Arabidopsis thaliana: one gene and its partner. The protein of the gene in region 2 interacts with the protein of the main gene of each other region in a pairwise test. Each region holds a gene or a part of one and is shown on either strand. Other genes may lie near its edges.

The links.
Region 1: the proteins of AT5G60530 (region 2) and AT1G01910 interact in a two-hybrid assay, tested with the Arabidopsis thaliana proteins (one large-scale study listed by BioGRID).

Annotation. Positions count from the first base shown.
Region 1 is NC_003070.9:312,345-317,646, forward strand, and holds AT1G01910 (P-loop containing nucleoside triphosphate hydrolases superfamily protein), read right to left. Parts: upstream 3,747-5,302; 5' UTR 3,488-3,746; coding exon 3,233-3,487; intron 2,672-3,232; coding exon 2,547-2,671; intron 2,459-2,546; coding exon 2,308-2,458; intron 2,208-2,307; coding exon 2,097-2,207; exon of another isoform or gene 1,882-2,096; coding exon 1,743-1,881; intron 1,652-1,742; coding exon 1,536-1,651; coding exon of another isoform or gene 1,528-1,535; intron 1,416-1,527; coding exon 1,251-1,415; 3' UTR 810-1,250; downstream 1-809. Other genes in the region: SBTI1.1 (subtilase family protein), read left to right, coding at 1-667; AT1G01920 (SET domain-containing protein), read left to right, coding at 3,860-3,913, 4,000-4,096, 4,195-4,369, 4,448-4,553, 4,664-4,746, 4,823-4,849, 4,950-5,112, 5,217-5,298. UniProt on the Arabidopsis thaliana protein: ATPase required for the post-translational delivery of tail-anchored (TA) proteins to the endoplasmic reticulum. Recognizes and selectively binds the transmembrane domain of TA proteins in the cytosol.
Region 2 is NC_003076.8:24,333,160-24,337,533, forward strand, and holds AT5G60530 (late embryogenesis abundant protein-related / LEA protein-like protein), read right to left. Parts: upstream 2,700-4,374; 5' UTR 2,527-2,699; coding exon 1,935-2,526; intron 1,766-1,934; coding exon 1,038-1,765; 3' UTR 748-1,037; downstream 1-747. Other genes in the region: PDX2 (pyridoxine biosynthesis 2), read right to left, coding at 3,715-3,850, 3,944-4,041, 4,142-4,333.

The DNA of each region.
Region 1 (5,302 bases), on a different chromosome or scaffold from region 2:
GGCTTGTCCTCACATCAGCGGAATCGCCGCTCTAATCAAGTCCGTTCACGGGGACTGGTCACCGGCGATGATCAAATCAGCAATCATGACGACGGCGAGGATCACTGACAATAGGAACCGACCGATCGGAGATAGAGGCGCCGCGGGAGCTGAATCGGCGGCCACAGCGTTTGCGTTTGGAGCGGGAAACGTGGATCCCACGCGAGCGGTAGATCCCGGGCTGGTATACGATACCTCCACCGTCGATTATCTCAACTACTTGTGCAGCTTGAACTACACGAGTGAGAGAATACTCTTGTTCTCCGGCACTAACTACACGTGTGCTAGTAACGCCGTCGTTTTGAGTCCCGGTGATTTGAACTATCCCTCGTTCGCGGTCAACCTCGTTAATGGCGCGAATTTGAAAACGGTGAGATATAAGAGGACTGTGACTAACGTTGGGTCACCGACTTGTGAGTATATGGTGCACGTTGAGGAACCAAAAGGTGTGAAGGTGAGAGTTGAACCAAAGGTGCTCAAGTTCCAGAAGGCCAGAGAGAGGTTGAGTTATACGGTGACGTATGATGCAGAAGCTTCGAGAAATTCGTCTTCGTCTTCCTTTGGAGTTTTGGTTTGGATATGTGACAAATACAACGTCAGAAGCCCAATCGCCGTGACGTGGGAATAAATTTCGCATCTATTGATTGCCATTTTCATATTTATTATATACCAAAGAAACTTATTGAACAAAAGCTTACCCTAAACTTGTAAGAATTTGTCAATAAATCAAAACATCTCTTATTTACTATAATTTTTTTACATGAATTTTCCTTCTCTGTTGCAAGACCAGTCTACAGTATATAAAAAGCTGTTACAAGAGATCATAGCATTCGCTTGTCACAGATACCCTTCAACTTAATATATAAAAAGCTGATTAAGTCGTAAAACAACGATTTCTTGGTAGATATGAGTCTATGTAGTCATGATTATTACAAATATAAAAACAAATCCAATGCATAACAATAAAACAACGCAAAAGAAGATTCTGCTTGATCTTCTTTCCTGTCCTATAAAGAGTTGTTGCTAGATGAAGAACTAGAGAGAAAAAGATTCAGTTTTAATTTTCCACCTATAAATTGTTCAAAACATAAACAACAATAAACCCAAATGACAACGCAGATCCAGAAGACCCCCATGTAGAAAGCAAGTGAGTTCCAAGAATATGGCGAGGAAAGAAACTTACAATTAAAGGGAAGAACAGAGCCTTATCTTTAGCCACTCTTGACCCGTTCGAGTTCTTCTTCAGCTGTTTTTAACTGCAAACGCAATGTGTGTACTTTCCTCTCCAGCTCCTCTACATTGCTCCTGCTAGTGGTAGGATGGTACGGCGTCAAGAACTTATGTGAAAACGCCTTTAAGGCTTCAACCCCTGTCACCTGTGATCCAAACATCCACAACAAGTGTAAATCTCAGGATGTATATTATATAAGGCTTTAGTTTCATTTTCGTCTTGATCATGTTCCTTCTCATCTATATTGAATGTCATGCGTTCTTACCTCTTCCGGAAGCAGAGGAAGCTTTGTGATATTAAAGTCATCGTATAGCATATAAAACTGATCAAGATACTTCTGTTGCATCCGCATCCTTGCTCTGAGCAACTTGGACTCCACATCTACAGAAGACAAGTGTAGATAATTCGTCAAATTTGTATGTAAAACAAGTTCAAAACGAGAAGATAGACACGACAGCAAATAAATAGGCACCTTCGTCGTCGTATAGTACTTGGTTGATGATAATGTTATGCGTGTCAATCTCAAACTTGGCGAGTTCCTGAACAAGTCTCTCTGTTTCATAGAGAGACAAGAACTCGGGGATGCAGACACAAACGAACGTAGTCATATCCTACGTAATGGAGCCAAATGTGTCAATTTCTTATCTTAAAATGCAGAGTTTGTTAGATATGTATCAGAATTTTCACTAATGCAAATGAATGCTGTCAAACCGTATGCTACAGAACAATGTGAAGAATCTAAAACTAAACTTCACGAACAGAGTTAAGAAAACAGTCAATGAGTACTGAAAATAGCAAAGAACTTAAACAATTGAAAAAATGTTACCGGGTCTTTGAATTGCCGATTTACTTGCTCAATCACATCTTTCAAGCCCTCAAGTCTTCCCAGCAAAGCATCCTCTCCGAACTCATCCTCCATGCCAAACATACGGCTCATCTGCATTACCAATCAGTTCCATGAAAAATCAGCCAAAGAAGAAACCAAAGAGCAATATCTGTTGCCAAGCAAACTGAATTTGACAAGCTTAAAGACATGCCTGAGTCATCAAGCCACCAAATCTACTCTTCAATGACATCAACTTCGAAAGTCCCTTTTCTAGTGTGGCCGGAAACTGTAACAGGCGGAGAGTATGTCCAGTAGGAGCAGTGTCAAACACAATAGTAGCATAATCCATTGTTTGCACCAACCTAAGGAAACATAAACATATCAAAATTTGACTGTGATAATACATGGATAAAGGCAGATGATTACTAGAAGAACTAAATGGCTATTTACTTCAACATCTCAGCAAAACTCATAGCCTCATCGATTCCAGGAATCGCATTTGCCAAATCAGAGAATAAACCATCCATCCCGTCTGTACCAGCCATGTCATCAGTTTCAACGGTAGGATCTACCTCCTGAGAAAAGCAAACAAGATTCACTCACTATCAAGAGGGAAGGAGTGTGAATCGTAACCATTTGCTTATAGTATGTGTATATATATACATATACACACAGACACAACTAAGAGCTTCAAGCTTAGAAGAGTAGCCATAAAGTCATCATCAAGCCTGTCTATTAGAGGCGACCCAGAACCACAAAAAACAACTTTTTTTTTTTTTTTTGAATTTGGCATAACTAGCCATGAATTTTAACTACAATAGACAAAAATTCGATTTGATTTGGGGACATCAAATCTTCTTCACAATCCCCTTCCGTATCAAGAATACAAATTGGCGTCCAAATTCCAAACCTAATCCCCAAAATCAGAGTGGGCATATGATAAGAAAGGCACAAATCAACCGTATTTATGCAAGTACTAAATCTGACTTCAAAATCAAAATTGATCCATCAATCTGCGGTTTGAAATTCGTGAATCAGAGAACCCTAATTCCCAATGAGATTAAAATCCAGGAGCGAAACTACCAAATTCCCTCTAAAATCTAGCACGATCTAGAACAAAATCGGAGAAAGCTTACCATGGCAAAGAGATTAGAGAAACCTTGAACCAAAGTGGGAGATTTAGTGAAGCGTTGCTGAAAGGCATCACTAAGATTGTGAGCAGGATCGGTGGAGATGATGAGAACGGAGGATCGAACACTGGCGAGACAAATTGCGAGAATTGAACTGCATGTCGTCTTCCCAACACCTCCTTTACCTCCGACGAAAACCCATTTAAGAGACTCTTGGTCCAGAATGTTCTGTACTGTCGCCTCCGGCAAATCCGCCGCCATTGCTAATTCCTTGCTCGTCTCTCTTCCACTAGTCTCAATCTAAAGAGCTCCTTGTTAGATATTTGGCGTACGGAAGAGTTTAACTGCGGCGAGAGACTTTTAACGCCGCCCGGTTCAATATTTTGGTTCTCGGTTTTGGGATATCACAGCAGTCTTGGTTTGATTTTTTTGGTTATCGTTTTTCACTTGTTCAATTTTTCTTTTTTTGTTAAAAATTTAAATTTGGTGTGTTTAAGTTCATAAACGCTAAATAAGCCCATACAAAAGCCCACATAGATGAAGCCATTACGACAGCGTATTGTGAGTTACGATTGAAAACCCCTCTCTACTCGGTTAAACCCGTCGCCGGCATATTGATCTTCGCCGGAGGATATGGCGATTTCAGAAGAAGAAGCCAAACTCGAAAGGTTCCTAGATTGGCTTCAGGTTAGATCCGGATTAAGTGTTGTTTTTCAGTCCTGATCTGCTGCTCTATATCATGGCATTTTGTGTTTCGATCTAATTTCATTCAGGTGAATGGAGGTGAATTAAGAGGCTGCAACATCAAATATTCTGACTCCCTAAAAGGATTTGGCATATTCGCTTCCACCTCCACTCAAGCTTCCGATGGTATAGTATTGTTCTTACCATTTCTTGCTGGGTTTTTTTCCGGGGAATATGTATGGAAAGTTGATATTGAATTCTGATTCAGCTCTGGAAATTTTCAGAAGTTTTGCTTGTTGTTCCGCTTGATCTGGCCATTACCCCTATGAGAGTTCTTCAGGACCCTCTCCTGGGCCCTGAGTGTCAGAAAATGTTCGAACAAGGACAAGTTGATGACCGCTTTCTCATGATTCTGTTCCTCACTTTGGAGCGTCTTCGTATCAATTCTTCTTGGAAGCCGTAAGTTTTTTTTTTAATCTCTTAGCACACATTTACGTAAGCTTAAGGGTATTCATCTGTCTAGAAATGATATGATAGGTATCTTGATATGCTTCCTACTCGATTTGGCAATCCTCTTTGGTTTTCTGATGATGACATCCTTGAGCTAAAAGGGACTAACTTGTATCACGCAACCGAGTTACAGGTCTCAATCTTGATCATTTATTCCTGTCTTATCATATCGTCCTTAAAATAGCAACCACATTTTCTCTTTTCATTTATTAAACCCAATAACCATCGTGTATTCATTCTCAGAAGAAGAAGTTGCTCTCGCTTTACCATGACAAGGTGGAGGTCCTGGTGACAAAGCTTCTTATTTTGGATGGCGATTCCGAAAGGTTGACATATTTACACTACTTTTAGACCAAATTATTGTTCATTGATAATCATATTTTGTTTTCTCTCTTCGTGCAGCAAGGTCTCCTTTGAACACTTCCTCTGGTATGTTTGGTACTGGTGTTATTCCTTGTTAGTAGAACCAGACTTTTGTGTCTTGTAAAGGGCTGCTTAGTGATCTTGCGACTTTTTTCAATTATGCCAGGGCAAACTCTGTATTCTGGAGTCGCGCCTTGAATATTCCTCTTCCACATTCTTTCGTGTTTCCACAAAGCCAAGATGATACCGGGGAATGCACATCAACAAGTGAGTCCCCTGAAACGGCTCCAGTTAATTCTAATGAGGAAAAAGGCAAGTCATTAACGTCGGTCTGCTGAATTCTGTGTGAAATGCCTCTTTTTTAATTATTATTATTCTATCATGTAACGACAATTTCATGGGTTTCTTCATTTTCTGATGGGTAGAAATTCAGGCTCAACCTGCGCCATCTGTAGGATCCGGAGATACAATATGGGTTGAGGGGCTTGTTCCTGGCATTGACTTTTGCAACCATGGTAT
Region 2 (4,374 bases):
GAGAACCACCACTAGCTTCAAATATTAAGTTCTTGACATGAATAATTAACAAAAATTGAAAATCTGCATTTCTAACAGGGAAAAGTCAGCCGATAGAAAATAGAGTAAATTGTAATATAAATCATTAACCAAAGGTCGGCTGTAACAATTTTACAAAAAAAAATTAACTATATATGTTAACATTTCCTGCTTGTTAATCTAAGGACATCATTGAATTAAATATATACAAATGTGCAGTTCATCTTTTTCACGAATTTGTTTCCACATTTATCTCTCCTTGTTGTAAATAATGGTTTCACACAATTAAAGGATGAAAAGCTAATGACAACCATCGATAACGGATCTATGCATTGTATTCATGATTAGAAAACAATTCAAAACTACGAGTGGTTGCACTAACTAATCATCATTGTGGAGTTGACATTTATATATTAATTCCATATACTCAATAGAAATATGATTAGATGGTATTGAAGCCATGTACTCATGTGATGAGTAACATAGTTTAATTTCCTTGGATCACATGAACTATGCCTAGAAAATTGGAAACCTTTTCTTTATGCACCAACTTATTTGATTATTTAAATCTGATTTTTCCTACTGGTTTATAAGTTTTAGTGAAAAGAGTGCTCTCGAAGCATCTCCAGTTGTTCGTGAGAACCCCCAAAAAAACACTTGCTTTCAAAGTGAAGAATATACAAAATACTGGAACCAAGAAACTTAATTTCAGATTCAAATACATGAATATACACACAAATATAGTTTTTTTTTTTTTTATTGTTCGATAAACGGATAGGTACACAAAATACAGCAAAGGAACGATAAGAAATCAAGGGGTTGCTTCTTGCACAAGAAATGTTTTACATTTCTTAAACCCTCAAAAACATCACAAACAGGCCAAATGTTATCTTTTTGGCTTTTATTACATCACTTTTTATGAATATAAAATATTTCCAGAAACAAAACAGTTACAAACACGAAATTTCCATGAATTTATTTAAAAATCAAAGAAGTTTCCATCTTTCTCCTTCTTCTCATTAGATATCAGCAGAAAGTGATTCTTCTTGAGGCTTGAACCTGCACAGTCTGCAAGTCGGCGAGAACAGAGAAGGCGTTTGGTATTTGTCTTCTCCTCCCAATACAGGCATTGGGACTCCAGTCTTGGCAGAGCTGACGTAATCAGGACGGTAGGTTTTCCCCAAAACACCCTCGACGAGCTCACTTAGGTCTAAGAACTTGAACTGAGTCTCGAGATGGGCAAAAGCGTCATCCTGCGGCAACTGATAGTTGTGAACTCTGTTCTCTTCTTTCCCTATAGGTCTCACTCTGATGTCCATCTGAACAAGATCAGAGACAAGTACTCTTACGCTGTTTCTCTCATCAGTTCTTTCGATGATGATATCCTTCTTTTGTCCTGAAATTTCCCTCCATTCTGATTGTTCGTCTTCAGGGAGTGTGATGAGTTCTCCATCATATCTGATGGTAAAGGCGTCAGATGTTTCATCCCATTGATTCACTCTGTTGGCTGTGATCACGAGCTTGTGGTTTTCGAACATGACATTTAGGGCCTGAACCCATGTGAAGTCTCTGGTTCTCCCAACGGGTCTTGTACCGATGAAGTGAGCGTTAATTTGGAGATTGTTGTCTGAAACAATCGCAAAGTTTCCTCCTTTGGATCCGTGGAAATAGAACATCACACCGTCTCCTCCCACAAATCGAGGGTCGTAGCACAGAGATCCGTAACCATTGCAGTTCGTTTTTCTCCCTGAAAGAAAGAGGAACCCGAAATTAAGCCAAGTTACTTGGGTTATAAGTAAACAAATTCATTGTACCACAAATTATCAATCCACAACTGAAATCTATATTCTTGTTACTTGTGCGATAAGCTAACTGAATATAGAACAAAGGAGACCAATTGAATAGAATGTACTTACATTTGCAGGTAGCTTCACATTTGTTAGTGCAGTCAATGAAGCAACCTTTGGTGTTCTTGTTCTTCGTGGGCTTCCTCTTGGGACACTCACCAGGGCAAACAAGAGTCTTGTAGTAACATGATCCCCGACCTTGGCACATGGCCTGCTCTTGTCCTGTAGGCAACGGTGATAATATTCTGTATCTCGCAGCTGCTTCACTCTCCTCTTTGTCTTTCTTCTCCTTCGCCTTTCTCTCTTTCTCCTTCCTCTCCTTCTCCTTCCTTTCCTTATCCTTCTTTTCCTTTTCCAGTTTATCCTTCTTCTCCTTTTCCTTCCTTTCCTTATCCTTCTTCTCCTTTTCCTCCTTATCCTTTTTCTCCTTCTCCTTCTTGTCCTTGGCTGCCTTCTCCTTGTCCTTCTTCTCCTGTTCTTTATCCTTTGGACCGTTACCGTTACTTTTGCCATTATCTCCTTTACCCTTGTCTACTTGTACCTCGTTCCCCTTGCCATTGTTACCGTTGCCTTTGCCGCCATCGCTCTGTGCAATGACAATATCTGTCAAGAGAAGCAATCCAATGAGCGCGACAAGCACATATGACTGTCTGCGCTCCATCTCTCAAGTTCAAGTCTTCTTCTTTAGCTTCTGCTTGTTCTTCTTCTTCTTCTTCTTCTTTGGTTTCTCAAAATGTTTCTGTGTTTTTTGGTGTGATGAGATGTTGTTGCAGAAGAAGGGATTATATAGAATGGGCAAAGAATTGAGTTGACTTATTAAAACCCCATATGATAATATCCCTTGCTTCATCTTAAGAAAGAAGCCGACTCTTTGAGTTCATCTCAAGTCGTCTCCATTGATTTCTTAACAAAAATCTAGCTTGATGAAGCTTCAACATCAAGTCTTTTAGCTAGAAAAGAGTTGTTTAATTTAAACACAACCATACATATAATATCAGTTCACAAATTTTTACCTAGTTCTTAATGCCTCATGATCAAATCATATTCATACTTGCTTCATTTGTTCCCAGTTGAATTATATTAGCAATTTACTATGAGAAAACAGGGTGAAGTTAGTATTCATTTAGTTGACAAAAAATAATAAAAAAGGGTGAAAATTTTGGTTATCGATACAATAAATTTGAAAAATCCGGTCTGTATATCTTTCTATACACTATATATACAAATTTGAAAATTTTCTCTATTTTCTGAAGAAAAACAAAATTAATTCTTGATGGCTTTATGTGCAAGGAAACGAGTATCTAGAACGTGAGGATGCCTTAAATGAAGAAGAAAGCCCTCATGTCTTAACATATCTGTAAATGTGTGCATTTTAAGTAACTTTTCTTGACTTTCATTGGCCCAAAGCCGCCCACTACTACAAGATTGCACCCTTTCGAGAAAGCAATGAAAAGTCAAACGCGTCAAAGTCAGCTGACTGGTTTACTATAAACCGGGTTAGCTTCTAAACCATTGAACCAAAACCCTACCGAGTTATACTTTCAGAGCATGTTCTGTTCTGCCTATAAACGCTGACAGTTATCTAAAGCTTAATTCTTGGCCAAACGACCTTTCACATTTCACAAGACATAGACCAAATTGAATCAGCAAAAAAGTTTGAGATTCAACTGTATATATAAAGTTGTATCAAGAAACAAGTACATGAATCCATTAAAGAGTCTTGTGAAACTTTCTTGAGTGCAAATTGCAAACTAGCTTGCAATTTTTCCAAAACATCTTTAGAAAGATAAAGAATCTGACACTTTCTCTGGTTTTTATTTTAAGAAGTGTGTATCTTCTCTCTGTTCAGTTATTGAAATATAGGAAGATCAGGCTTAGCTGGCTCGGGACCAGCACTTGTTTCTCCAACAGATACAATAGTCTTACTACTGCTTGAAGAAGCTCCTTGCTCAATCTCTTTCGTCATCTTTATGAAATAACTGTGCCTGCAAAAAAAATGAAACCGGAAAGAGTAAAAACAGACCATATAGATCATTGCTGCAAATATCAAAAGATCGGGGAAAATGTTAATCAATTACCATCGAGTGTCTGCAGTAAGCTCGGGATGAAAAGCAGTTGCTAACAAGTTTCCTTGCTTCACAGCAACAATGACTTTTGTTTCAGGAAGAGCATCTTCCTGATTTATCCCCAAAAAATGAAACCAACAAGAAGGGATTCATACATGTGCTCACAAAAGAGTAATCGTTTCATGAAAATTAGTGCAAAATTAAGCAAACCTCTTGAATTTGTACGGTGGAGCTTGAATACAAGACCTTGTTTGATGGGACGGGATAATCCGCCAGGACTTCGACATCAGGACCTACATCAAGAACAGCTGGAGCACGTATGAACACTCCCCTGTATGTCTCTGGCCCACCTTCTTGAGATGTTAGTTGAGGTACTAAGATATCAGCTTCAAAACTTTGAATCTACACATCAAAAACAAATTCGAGAACAATCTAAGATTTTC